2 linked regions of the Oreochromis niloticus genome follow. Each later gene encodes a partner of the first gene's protein in a complex. Links are inferred from orthologs where the notes say so. Each region holds a gene or a part of one and is shown on either strand. Other genes may lie near its edges.

The links. Proteins that work in one complex are often made in the same cells at the same time.
Region 2: the proteins of orc3 (region 1) and orc4 are in contact, whole or in part, in a cryo-EM structure (PDB 7JPO), measured with the Homo sapiens proteins. The link is inferred for Oreochromis niloticus from reciprocal best matches to the Homo sapiens genes ORC3 and ORC4. Residues at the interface, in NP_036513.2 of Homo sapiens: Thr227, His260, Arg261, Leu262, Leu263, Pro264, His265, Ala266, Ser269; in NP_001177808.1 of Homo sapiens: Pro370, Lys374, Glu377, Gln381, Ser392, Gly393, Asn394, Ser395, Gln396, Arg397.

The regions. Positions count from the first base shown.
Region 1 is NC_031983.2:13,549,210-13,556,130, reverse strand, and holds the start of orc3 (origin recognition complex subunit 3), read right to left. Parts: upstream 3,018-6,921; 5' UTR 2,888-3,017; coding exon 2,864-2,887; intron 2,758-2,863; coding exon 2,703-2,757; intron 2,607-2,702; coding exon 2,509-2,606; intron 2,126-2,508; coding exon 1,987-2,125; intron 1,820-1,986; coding exon 1,715-1,819; intron 1,626-1,714; coding exon 1,462-1,625; intron 1,378-1,461; coding exon 1,238-1,377; intron 1,110-1,237; coding exon 950-1,109; intron 496-949; coding exon 382-495; intron 265-381; coding exon 131-264; intron 1-130. Other genes in the region: znf292a (zinc finger protein 292a), read right to left, coding at 4,561-6,921. UniProt on the Homo sapiens protein: Component of the origin recognition complex (ORC) that binds origins of replication. DNA-binding is ATP-dependent. The specific DNA sequences that define origins of replication have not been identified yet.
Region 2 is NC_031986.2:18,203,843-18,211,004, reverse strand, and holds the start of orc4 (origin recognition complex subunit 4), read right to left. Parts: upstream 3,063-7,162; 5' UTR 2,940-3,062; exon of another isoform or gene 2,870-2,939; intron 2,864-2,869; exon of another isoform or gene 2,607-2,863; intron 2,252-2,606; 5' UTR 2,235-2,251; coding exon 2,178-2,234; intron 2,084-2,177; coding exon 2,007-2,083; intron 1,139-2,006; coding exon 1,048-1,138; intron 944-1,047; coding exon 868-943; intron 775-867; coding exon 689-774; intron 594-688; coding exon 545-593; intron 452-544; coding exon 300-451; intron 216-299; coding exon 42-215; intron 1-41. UniProt on the Homo sapiens protein: Component of the origin recognition complex (ORC) that binds origins of replication. DNA-binding is ATP-dependent. The specific DNA sequences that define origins of replication have not been identified yet.

The DNA.
Region 1 (6,921 bases):
GTCAACACAAATACACAAATTAAAAACATGCTAAGACACCTACTATCACTTTTTGCAGCTAAATAAGTGCTGCATTTGCACTTTAGACTCACACACGTGGATGATTGGAGAAAGAAACAAGTTTGAGTACCTTTTGAACGACGGCAGCTGTCTTATCCTGTCCAAGTTGGGTTTGCTGAGCTGTGTGACGTTGAACAGAGCCTGCTTTTTCTTGCAACACAGAACACTGAGAGGCTGAGAGTGAAAGTGCTCGAGCAGAGCCAGCTGCACAAGGACCAAACAGAAACTTTAAACTCACATATTTCTGTATTTGAATTACACTTCAGGCAAGAAAGCAGGGGGATGACAGACTTGCGGAGACTGTTAGAGGATGCTCCATACCTGCAGTCCCTTAATGAAGTTTCTCACTGAGAAATCATGGTAGAGGAAGACACCAATGAGGACCTGCATCACTTTCCCGTTGAGTTTAAAGTGAATGCGTGATGCCAGGATCAACTGAAATAATAAAAGAAAGAAAATTTAACTACTTTTATTTAATTTCTTTACATCCTCCAGGCCACTGATCGTCTACAGTTAGGGTTAGTGTGACCGCTATGGCTCAAAAAGAAATGTATCCTTTTTGAGGCACTGAAATGGAAAACAGAAACTATTGTTATAAATGTAGGACACTTCATAATAAATGTACCATCTAATTCCTGAAAACGTGCCTCTTTAACCAGAGGCTGCTCGTCTGTAACCTGGTGTTGTCAGGAGGTTTAAAATGCAACTTACACTCAGGAAACCGCTTTTAAAAAGAAGATGTTGGATATGCTTAAGTATGCAACAGTCTTCAGATTGGAAAGCTAACTGTACACATGGACTCATAGATATCAGGAAGGTTTTCCCGTCTGGAGGATTGCACAGATCAGTGTTTTTATGTTTTTTTATTCTTTGGTCAGGTTGAACTTACCTTGTCAATGACTGTAGCCAGGTGTTGTGTGCATGACAGTGACTGGAAAAGCTCGATGCACAGCAGGGAGGACACGGAGTGGGGAAGCATGTGCTGGATGGTACTGGGTGATGTAGCGATCCCAAAGATGAAGGTCAGCGGTAGGCGGTCAATGTACTGACTGTGGAGCAGAGTTTGTTTAGCAGAGACTTGCCCAGCTTGCAAATCCAAAATGCATTATCAATGATTTGTGTATTATCTGCAGCCCTAAAAATAAGAAAGCGATTCAACTCAAGAGTCTTCATTTACCTGCAGATGAGGATGAAGTCCTGAAGAACTCTTGGGTTAAAAGCCTCCAAATCTTTGAAAATGATTACAACAGGAGGCTGCTGCTGCTCATCTCTGACTTGAGAGCTACGTTTTTTCCCTGGAGTACCAGTGGGAGATTTCTGAAAAAAATAAAATCATATATGATACATATCACTTACAATCCAAGTCTCTGTATGCACGCCAGCAGTGGTTTGTGCTCCCACCTTTGTTCTTGCAGTGTACCAATCACAAAGTATCCCGAGAGAGCAGTGCATGCTCCTATGGACCCGAGGGCTCGTCTCCACATTCTCCTCCTCATCTTCATCATCCACAACCACAACTGTATCCATCAACCGTTCGAGCACCTTCTTCATCAAATGCTTCAGTGCTGAAATCATAAACCAAACACATACCATTTAAAGCAAAGCCTATGAGGGGAGCACAAAATGATTTCTGACTGATCTCGAAACCCCTTACCTCCACACTCTTTGGCCTGCACAGAGGCCACGTGAGGGCTGACAGACTGCTTTAGCATGTCAGACAGACTCTGAAAGGTCATGTCGTGATCTGGGACGTTCACACCTAGAGTGGACATTAAAGGAAGTTCAGATTAGGTAGAGATGACAGCATGTAATGTAAATGCCTCGTTTCTACTAAAAATCTACTAATACTACATCATATGTAGTTGTGAGAGTCATACATGTTTTTTAACTCAAACATCAGATATTACTGCCTCATAACCAACATACCGAGCATTAGAGCTGCTGTGGGGATTTCACTGGCCCTCATCTGTGATGTCCAGTCACTGTTTTGACGTGTAGAGGAGCATTTCCTCGTGAAGTCCAGCAAACTGTCCAAGATTGTCCTGTTGAGTTCATCTTGTAAAACCTAAGAAGCAAAAAAGTACATATGAATGTATAATGTATTTGTATGTAGAAGATACAAAAACGGTCTGCTCAGTAAAAATCAAACCATGACTAAATTAACGACTTTTTTAAAAAAAAAAAATCATATTAATAGAGTACTCCAGAGGCATCTCCTGCTTTTGTCACTATATATTCAATTTTACAACACTATAAAAGCACGCTTGCATATACAACATTAAAGCCATGTGTAGTATGAAGAGTCGTGCATAAATATGCATGTATACAATAAAAACTAGAGGCAGTTAACTGTTTTCTCAGTTTTATTAACTTTACTTTGAGCACATATTTTCTTCTTGGGACAGAAAAGTCTACTTTCTGGCCTTCCTGCTGAACATCTGTCCTCACCTCTGTGTCTGTTTTGATTTCGTCCCACAGTTCCTGACATAACCTGAATCGTATTTCACTGCTCTCAGCATCCTCGCATCCCTGAACGAAGTAACTCTCTGTGGCGAAAAAACATGACATCAGCAACTTAATACCACTAAATCCACCCGACAGCTCGGGAAGACAAATCTTGTATAAACACTCGCGTATCTCACCCAGACTGAGAGTCTTCTTCTTTTTCTTAGCGCTGGGCTTGAAAACAAAGCAGCCCTAAAAACGTTGACAAATAGTCTCATTTAACATTGTATGACGACTGCCAGTAAATTAATAAGTTTTAATCAAACATGCATGAAGCACAACATATATAAGACTTTACCTTTGACACGGATGAAGTAGCCATCTTTCGCTACACGGGTCCGCAGTGAATAGCCCGGCCTGTACCCTGAGCTGGAGGTCCTATGTGCATTTAAAATGACGGATGCCTGTAGCCTTGCTGGGTATCTACTTCCCGCCAAAGTGACGTATACGGAAAGGGTTGTGTTCAGCTGATAAACAGCTTCAAGCGTGAGTTCATACTTTTGTCAAGTTGTTTTAAGTTATGCAACCACAACCCACTTTTCAAAACTAACATTAAATTACACCAGATAAATAATTTAAAAGAAGGAACGAAAGCTTTTTTCCCGTTAGATCACTGCTGTTAACGCTTTCTAACATTGCTGATCTTGAACGTTCCCCCAAAGCATCTCCGGTGTCCCGTTACTGTCCTTCAGGTCCATTTTGCGTTACAGCTGGCAACTCTTAAAATAATGACGCAATAACAATCATAAAGCTCTATTACAGCCATTTAAGTCTCAAATCAGTGCATACCTACTTCTTCATATATATATATATAGTTTTTTTTAGCTGAGTTAATTCCCATTGTGCATTGTGTGGAGGAAATATGTCGCAATAAATTAAAGTTTTAGATAACCTTAAGAAAAAATATGTAAAAACAAGCCAAAAATGCATGCACAAGCCCCCTGAATGAACAGTATGTTTAATTATAGAAATAAGCTCAATATATTATTTTTTTTATGTTAAAATGTACTTTTCCATGAACTATGGAGGCTTATTTCTGCAAAAAAAGAAGAAGAAAAGCAAGCAGAGCTACGTCAATTTTCATCATATCGTTTCAAAATTTAGTTTCTGAGCAAGTTGAAATTGTGAAGTTTGAATGGGGGAAAATTTGAGAGAAAGAAACAAGCTTCCATAATATGTTTTAATATGCAAGTATGTTTTAATGCACTGATTTATTTATACTATTGACATTTTTCATGTCAGTATGCCCAATTTAAGGTGTTTTAAACTGACATTAGGTCTACAACTTTAGTTGTGTAGATTGCTGGCATTCCCTTTATGGAAAAAGTTTCAAAAACTGTACATTTTCCAGGCTCCTTTGGGAAGCTTTGTGTCCACAAATATGAAAAGTTTCCACATCTATTCAGTTACTCACAACAACCTTTTCCCACCATATTCCAAGTTTCCATATATTATATCATTTAAAACCGAATCATGTGCATAATTTCACAGCGGCATTGTGCGTAAACAAAGCTACTGTAAACTATATAAGTTAGAACAATAGAAAGTGTGCAGTCAGTATGTTATAAAAAGAACCAGTAACATTTTATTGAACACTTTGTGGAAGACATGTAAATATTACAGATAGGTCTACTAGTGTTGTAAAAGGATGAAATAAATACAAACAGAACTTGAAATCCCATAGGGATATATAAAAACATAGTTTTCTTTAAAAGTCTCCATTTAGCAAAAGAAAAAAAAACATCTTCAGTACTAAGCATAAATACAAACATGTTTCTAAAATCTATGCCCTATAGATTACCTGGTTATTATAACTAACATACATACTTAAAATCATCCGAGACGTTATTTCATTAGGTACAAAATAGGCCTTTTTTTTTCATTAAGTGTGACCATGACTGTTAACAGTTGGAAATTTGATGCATTAACAAACCATTCTGCAGCATAACTTCTCAAATCCTGAGTAAGACTGAGCTGAAAACAAAAAATATCGGGTTATGATCCGCTATAAATCCACTTTTTTATTATGACTATGGGCCGCATGTCTTGTAGCTGCTTTAGCAAAAGATCAGCGCCATCTGATAATGTTTTATCCATGACTATCTTAACATTACTCACTGATTGGAGATTGAGGGGGTTTCTGAAGTCTACAAGACTCTCACAACCTTTCAATTCATCAGCTGCTTTACTTTTGGTTGCAGATTTCTGTTTGTTAGTGTGTTGTCTTTTGGAAGGCAGTTCAGCACTAGATTTATCATTTAATTTGCGTTTGGAAGAGTTGGTCGACTCTGAGGTTTCCAAGAACTTAAGAAAGGAGTCCTCAAGTCCTAACGGCTTGAAAGACGCTGACATAACCCCGTCATCACGTTGTTCTTGGGCTGCAGGGGTACCAGGATTTGAGTTCTCTCTTGAACTGTTAACAGTCGTGCGGTTCCTAAGGGTTTGTATCCTCTCCGGACAAGCTGGTGTGGGATGTGCAGGTTTTCTGGGACGGCCTCTTTTAATTCCTCCTTCTGTCCCAGTGGAAGCTTGAGATTCTGCACTATCGTCGTTGGACAGCTTGCTGTCCTCTTGGACTATTTTTTCTACCGATTCATCAATTTTCTGGTCACTGGGCTTTTCAACTTCTTCTGGCTCCATGTCCTCAGAAGATGAAGCTGACGTGCCCTCTGCTTTGTTTGCATCTTTGCATCTGGCGCGTGAGTATTTTTTGCAGAAAATGAACTGGCTCCTCTGATCTTCAATGTATCTCTCTGTGAGGCCATGTGTGGTGTAATGCTTAAATATATTTCTTTCAGCAGACTCCACTGCATCGCAACCTATGATCATGCATGGGTACTGCAGCGAGGACTTCTTGGTGCACATGGCCGATGCTTCTTCGTGAGATTTTAGTGTAGGCTTTCCAAAACTAGTCCAGTGTTCAATGGACTTTCCATCTTTCTTTTTAGTGTTTTTCTTTTTCACTCTGAATTTGCTTTCTACGTTCTCTTTGCCATTGTTAACCCCTGGGAAGAGCCCTACCGATTTAGTCCTTCTTCCATCACTTATTTTGGGGTCATAAATATAGTCGTGCTTTTTGATGAGGTGACGGAGCAGGTTTGACTTTGTAGTGTACACTCGGTCACATCCATCGTACTCGCACCGGAAAGTTGGATCAACGGAGCCGCTCTCAGAAATGGCGATTTCCTTGTGGTAATTCTTAATGTGCTCAATGTATTTTTCCACAGAGCTGAAGGGGAGAGCACACTCTGGCCGGTCACAGTTAAAAGTTCCTATGCTCATACTGGCCATCATGGCGGTGGCTTTGTCACGGGTGAACTTGTGTAGTAAGAGGTAATGTTGCACCAGCCGTGTGATTCCCATGAACACCCTTGAGCAATTTTTCACTTGACACCTGACTTCATTATCTTTTTCTATGGTCTGATCGCTCTCCTGTCCGGTATTAACGCTGGTCTTTTCAGCTTCAGTTTCACCTTCAGTTTTGTTAGGGGGCAGGGATGCCTGATGCATGGCCTTGTAATGGAGTATCAAATTGTGCTGGATGGTGAATGCTGCAGTGCATCCCTCATGAACACAGCGATAAGGTCTGTACGGACTGTAGGCATTGTCTGCGTCAAACATTTTGAGGCTTAACCTCTTCTGAAGTTTCTCCTTTTTCTCCTCCTTTGTTGGTGTGCTTTTGGAGCTGCTGGGTTTTTCAGGAGACGATGAAGGAGATGAAGGCGGAGACTTTAGCTGTTTCACTTTGCTCGGGCTCACGGCTAATTTTCCTTGCGGCACTTTTGCTTTGCCAACGGGACTGAGTTTCTCTTTCAAACTGGATTTCAGTGTCATTTCTGGACTGTTGTTAATAACAGCCACTTTAGGTTCCTCTGGAGCTTTTTCAGGAGCAGGTTGTGCCACTTCCTCAAACGGCCTGTCAGTCAAGTAGTTTTGAGGTGATGGTAGTCGTGTAACAGTCAATACCTCAGAGGTCACGCTTTGCTTTGACACGTCTTCTGGAGTGATCTGAGGAACGTCTAGATTGTTGGCAGCGTCTGGTTGAGGTGCAATTGCAACATCAAGTGGTTCCTGTTTTATAGCAGGAGTTACAGGTGCAGACTTTGCTATCTGGCTGCTACTGACATCGGTGTTTGGACGTTTAATAACTGCATCAGCTTTGTTAAGTCTAAATGCACGTCTATTTCTAGCACTAATTCTAAGCTTCTGCATTTCTGCCTTTGACAATCGATGGACTTTTTCATAGTGAATTCTCAACCCTGTCGTTCTTGTAAATGTTTTTGGACAGATCTGACAAGGATATGGAGACAGTTTGGATGGCGTTCTTTTTAGTTCGTCTATCATCTCATTAGTATA
Region 2 (7,162 bases), on another chromosome or scaffold:
AGACTTGACTAGAAAACTTTGTGTCTGCCTGCTAGCTTCACCTTTACACCAGCGTTCCACTCCTGAGCGAACTTCTTGTCAGGAAAGCTGTCCGGCAGGCTGAGTTGCGTCCAAACCCGTTCCAGGTACTGGGTGAAGTTGAGGCTGCTCAGCAGGTGGATCTGACGGTGGGAAAACCGCGACTTCACCCGCTTCTCCAGCAGCTCCAGAACATCCTGAATGGAAAAAGAATCACAACACGTATTAAAAACACCTACCATTATCTAAGTAGCGTTTCTGAGAGGTATTCTGAGGCCCACCAGTCTGCAGGTGACGCCAACCACGGCGATGGGAGCCTGGGCGGACTGTGAGACGTCAAACAGGTTGTAGAGCAGAGTCTGGTTCTTGTGGTGGGCGAATAAGTCGAACTCATCCAGGACAAACAACACTGGGCAGCTACTGCTGCGATTGCCTTTTAGGATTAAAAAACAAAACAAGAACAAAAAAAAACATCAAACCTGCCCCTCTAGTCTGAAATCAGCTTTAAATATTTGAATTTTCTCACCTTTTTTTAATGCCTCCAGGAGGAAAGCCAGATTTTCAGCAAAGCTTCCCTAAGGAAAAAAAAAAAAAAAAAAAAAAGGTAGAAAGATTTTTGTAGGAGTTTTCAGAGCTGAAAATGTTAATAACAGTCTCTCTTAATACTCACAAACACTTTGTCTCCAACAACGTTTTCCAGGTGGAGCTGTCTGGTTATTTCTTTCAGCGCTATTCTGTCATCAGTCTGCAGGAGACCTGCAGCAAACACACAAACCCATCCATCCAATTCAGATTTCCAGCAAACGTGTGGGTTCTTAAATTGTGAGGAATTTAAATGAGGTTTGGCACCATTGAGGTGAACCTGAAGAAGGTTCTTCTGCACCTTCTCCTCTTTCTGCAGGTCTCTCAGCACGCACTGCAGCAGCTTCAGGCACAAAAACACAAACCTCACAGGATTCACAACAAGTCCATACTTTTAAAAAATTATTTAAATTTAAAAAACACAAATTCATTTTTTCCACGGCTCACCGTCGTTTTCCCTGCTCCTCTGGGACCCACGATTAGCACAGAATTACTCTCCCCGTGGATCGCCGTCCGCCTCAGCAGCTCCAGGAGGTGTCTGCAAACACAATGGCTTTAACTACAATACCCACAATGCTTAGTAAAATTTACACCCCCATCTCCTGCTTCTAATGAGTGGAAATCTCTCACTGGGGAAGCTCGTGTTGTGGCCGAGTCGGCCAGGAAACTGGGACAGAGCTGTCACCCAGGTGCGACTGAACTGGGTCACTGAAACTCACACCGAGCTCCAGGTCTGCTCTTAATTATAGATGACAGTTCTACTACAGGCCTTCTAAACCATCCAACACCTGTAGGAACTGAAGCCGAAACAAAAACAAACACCCTTCACAGCTTATTTGCCTTTCCCAAACACTTAGGACAAATTATTCATGGTTTTATTTTCACAAGGCCAGATTACAACAGATTCCTCCTCTCCTGTATAAACAGTAAGGTTGGAATGGCCTCGAACTTTTAACCTTTTACTGATCACTAGTAAAGGTACCTTTCATAATTACACCCTACATACTGTTACTATACGTTTCACCACAGTGGGCAGTGTTTTACCAGTCAGTGTGTTTTCACATTTTTAAGCCTCTTTCCAGACCTCCACTTTAAACAAGAATGTGTTTTCAAAGGACAACCATAACGAAGTCACAATGCGCACACACACACACACAGACACAAACACACAGCTTTGACAGCGCCAGAAACGCCCCGAGGATTAAAACAGGCCGATCCGGTTGAAGCTATGAGGCAGGAACCTGTGCCAGTCATTTCTCCAGTTTCTTTTCTCGCACTGATTGTCTTGTTTCTTATTTTAATATCCAACTTTGTTTGAATTTAACGTTCTGATTTTCTCCGTGATTTTCTTGTTGACATTATTATAAAATCACCTCTATCCACAGGCCCTGCTGTTATGAACTTACTTGTACTGAGCTTCTACTCCCTCTAGTCTGTCAGGGAGCCGCCTCTCACAAAATCGCTCCCTTAAAATCTGCTGAACCTGCACAGAAACATGTATTATAAATAAACTACATTTTATTAGGTATATTTCAGAGTATGACACTGAAAAACTCACTGGCTGTTCATACACACACCTGTTTGATGCATTCCCCTACAGGCAGATGAGCATCTCTGGCCTTCCTCTTACTCATGATGATGTGACTGTCAACTGCAAAATGTGAAAAAGTGGGAAAACAGGTCAACTTCAACATGCCACTAAATTCATTTATCAGGGGGATAATACTGACACTTTACATTGCCGTTAGGTGTCAATTAAATGCACCAACATGGTGGAAACAACGGTTTTAATTCCAATAAATAACACCTTTTTTTTTTTTAGTTTAAGCCAAATGTAAGACTAATAATCACCAAAACGAAATCACATCGCTTCAGGACATGTTTACAGTTGTGCTGTAACCAATGTTAGGGTCGATAACAGGTGAAGATAAAACAATTTAATTCGGTATACAGCTGATGCAACAATAACACTCTATCTCATAGCTGCCTTTGACTGCTTAACTTACAATTTGGTCAAAAAATGAATGTCTAAATAGATTTTATGTATGCCGAATTAGAAAGCGACTCATAAGTGTGAGAATCCGTCTCGGGCTGCATTCAAGGCTGAGATCATATCCGCCGACAAGTCAGGAGAACACAAAATTGGCATTTTTACAACAGAACCTCGGTGCTACACGCTTGCGACGCAACCCAGGGCTTTACTCGAAGATCTGCTCGCTAAAAGCGTGCTGAAGAAGCACGAATGTTTTCCATTTCTAACTTTGATTACTTCTACCGTTGTGTAAGACAGGTGTCAGCTAGTCGAGCTTCTTTTCACACACACATCAGAACAAACATACCGGGAGCAACGATGAGACGCCTCAATCTTCGCGGGAATACTCCTCTGCCAGCGATGACGACTTCCGGCTTTGACTATATCTGCTCTCTGATTGGCTGTGACTCAGAGCAGCGCTGTGGTTGTGGAATTATATTATTCACACACATACGCACAAATAAAATAATAACAAATAAAAAATGATTTAAAAGAAAAACATGACATATGATAATGTGCAAAAGTCAACAATTGTGTTTTTTTATATTTTGTTACCAAGTAGACAGACTTTGTTCTATTGTTTTCAAAGTGGTCTTGAGCAGTAGTTCTTGAGGCTTCCTGAATGTCTTTGAACGTTTTTCTTTGGATATCGGCTGCTTTTTCACTTATTTTCTGCTCAGTCCTTGTCCCTGGCCAATCTTTTGCTGGTTAAACCACTATGAATCATTGAAGCGTAAAAAAGACAACCACAACCACAAAAACACATCATTTGTTCTAATGTCTTTAGTTGGATCTATGAAAAATGTCAAAGATTACACAGTTTGACAGACATTAAACAGTATTTTTTGTACTAACAAACGTGATTCCTAAAAGCTATTAGCTGAAAACTTGGCATAGCACAACATGGTGTGCAGTCTGCCCTCAAAAAAATCTGAGGAAGCTGGAGAAGTGGAGGGCTAAAGAGCTGTCAGCCTTCAAAAACCATCTACATCAGATGAACAGTATCTGAAAATCATGTCCTTAAAAAACATGAAAGAATCCAGTAAAGAGCTGACACAGAACCATCTACTGTTCACTGAAGCCTCATCAGAAATGGGCTCAAGTAGAGATTTAGATTTGAAGCTATGTAAGCACAAAGCTATTCAAATATGTCAATACTATTAACATAAATCCACAACAATTTAAGTCACGTTGTGATTTAATAAAAGTATTAGCAGTAAAGAAGACATTGCACAGAGGTTATATTTGAATTTGAATATTTGAATAACCCATTCAGGTGTGTACAGACTTTTGAACTTGTTTAAAAAATATATAAATTAAAATGACAAAATATTATTTTATTTTCAATTTCAATTTCAAATACAATATTTTTAATTTGTTATTATAACAAATGACACATCCTTGTCTTGAGGGCAAAAGTTAAAAACAATGTGTCTTTTTATGCTTTTTATGAATTTTACATGAATAGGATTTTATTTGTTGAATTTTATATACATTTTATTCTTGAATTTGATCCTGCGCATTTCCGTTCTACAGCATTTACTGGCTATGAAATGAAAACAATATGATATTATATATAATATATTATTCACAATTCAAGTTTTGTAGATTACATTTTATGTTATTTTTGTGAAATTAAAATAACAGGATGCTCTTAAGAGATTTTACATCTGCATAAATGCTAAAAACAAGTCATTTTGGCCAGTTGCTATAGGTGGTTGCTAGGCAACATGATGGCATCATAACATTTGACATAGATAAGAACCTTCAGGTGCCTAAGACATACTTGTGTGCCAAGTTTGGTTGCGCTGCTTGTGATCATGTAGGAGGAGTTGGTAGACAAAGAAATGAACACACAGATTTTCTGTGTTATAGTAAGATATATAAGAAATAGTCTGTCGGCACTGAGAAAGACTACAATTATGTGTAATTATATATACGTTTATTTGTGAAACTATAACAGCCACTTCTGCTCTGGTTTGATAAAATTAGGAGGGATGGCTCATGTGAATGGCTAAAAGGCCGCCTGCATAACAGCATCTTTTACTCACTGAAGCTCTGGAGACACTTAAACGCTTCCTGCGGCTTTTTGGTTGACTGATGAAAAGGAAAAAAAAAAGACACAGCAAACCGCCAGATATCTCGCAAATCGTCTCCCGCTCTCCGCTCACATTTAGCCTGTCACATTATTCTAAAATACGACCCTCCGCTCGCACATTCAGCCCTCTGTGTTTGCCCTTAAAAATACATGAAGCGCTCCTTCCTTCAGCAGCCCTACGCTGAATTCATTTAACGTCTCCTCGGGTTTGACCTTCACACAAAATTCAGGCGTTTGCACCCTGAGCTGCATCTCGTCCTCGCTTCAGACGGCTGAGCTCATGTTTTCTTCAGCTTTTATGACCTTTATTTATCTCAGGAAATTATTTTGCTGAGTGTCTGTTTTTGCTCCACTGCAACTTTGTGTTGTATTTTTGTAGTTTTTGTGCGCGCAGCCAGTCAAAATTAACCTTAATGAGTGTCATCTTGTTCATAAATATGAATAGTTTAGTTTCTGCTAAAAGATGTTCTTGTAATTAATCATTATCATTGCAGTTTGTAGCTTATGGTGTTAAACGCTTATCAAATTACACTTCATATACAGTATTTAACAAAGTACCTGTAAGGTACTAGCAAAATAACTGGTAATGGGATTGTTTTTAATTAGATGGTGACTTTTTTTCTAACCCTGTGAGTCCACATATTCTGAGTTTCAGTATGTAGCCATTGGCTTCTGATCATTTTAGTACATTGTGCTTAATATGTAAAGACCACCTTTTATTTTTGACAAAGTAAGACATGGTAATGATAACGTTACAAAAGTTAAAACTTCTGTAAGGGGTCTTTATGTAAGCTTACCTTCTGCAACAATGACCCTTCCCCCTACCCCCAAAAAAGGAAAAGGAAAAAAAAAAGTTGTACTAAATTAATTTCCTGTCACTTTTTCTACCTTTTAGAATTAATCAAAGTCATTATTCGGCATTAACTCAAACTATTTTGCAGATCAAGTCAGCAGAACTTAAAGATCACTGTGTTCATTTCTACTGTTTCTGATGTGAGCCAGTCATGTCCTCCTGTGAACCAGCCTATTCATTTATGTCCTCTGTAATGGACATTTGTTTTTGGTTTATATCTTTTGAGTGATTTGAGATTCTTAAAGTCCTGATGTACTAAATAAAGGACATCCTAGGCTTTCCACTGATATCTCATGTGTTTGAGTGGCCTCTTTTAGCTCCAAAGAGGAAAGGACTCACACATATCCTTTTGCCTTGTCTTGATTCTGCCTTGCACAGATTCAAAAAGGTGATGGAATTGTTCCTCTGAGATTTTGGTCCATGATGACATGACAGTATCACACATTTGCTGCAGATTTGTTGGCTGCACATCCATGACATGAATCTGCTGTTCCACCACATCCCAAAGGGGCTCTACTGGATTGAGATCCGGTGACTGTGGAGGCCATCTGAGTACAGTGAACTCAGTGAACTCATTGTCATGTTCAAGAAACCAGGTTGTGATGATCTGAGCTTTGTGACATGGTGTGTTATTATGCTGAAAGCAGCCATCAGAAGATGGTACACTGTGATCATAAAGGGATGGACATGCTCAGCAACAACGCTCAGGTAGGCTGTAGAGTTTCAATGATGCTCAGGTGGTACTAAGGACCAAAAGAGTGCCAAGAAAATATTCCCCACACCGTTACACATCCAACACCAGCCTGAACTGTTGATACAAGGCAGGATGGAGCCATGCTTCATGTTGTTTACACCAAATTCTGGCTTGATCCTGAATTGTATTAGTGTAAGAAAGTGGATGGATGTAATCAAAGTATACAGAAGAGCATCTCTGAACAGGCAACATACTGAATGTTGATGGAGATGGTCTACAGCAGCAGAAGATCATAGCAGGTGACACTGCTAAGAACAGGAAACTGAGGTTACAGCTCATCAGAAATGACCACAGCCTACCCATCTTCCGTCAAAGACAAAGTGCAGCCTGTCGGTCCTCGCCTAAACTCAGTTAATTAGACTTAACCAACTAACCTAACCCCATACCTGTTTTTGGACTTTGAAGAAAGGAGTTTGCATCTAGTCCAGTGGATGAATCCAACCTAGGAGCCTCTTGTGAGGTGACAGTGCTGATGACTGCACTGCCATGGCAGCCTTCCTTGGTTATAACAAGTGTCTTGTCGTGCTTGTTATATTGATTATTGTTTGAAATTGTCTAGTTTTAGTTGAATTTTTAGTAGTTTCAGTTTTGCTTTGCAAAGTCAGCTGACTTGACATCTTGATACCCAATAAACATCTCCATGAAAGCCTCGTTGGGGTGTTTGTGTTGTGAATGCGTCCAAACTGACAGAAAGAGTGAAAACTGTATATGAAATTTATATAACTAATTGTTAAGGTTTGTTTTAGTACTTAATATAATCATGCCACAGTCATACAGTGTTATTACTAACAAGTTGCCTCTAAGTCATTTTTCTGCAAGTAAATT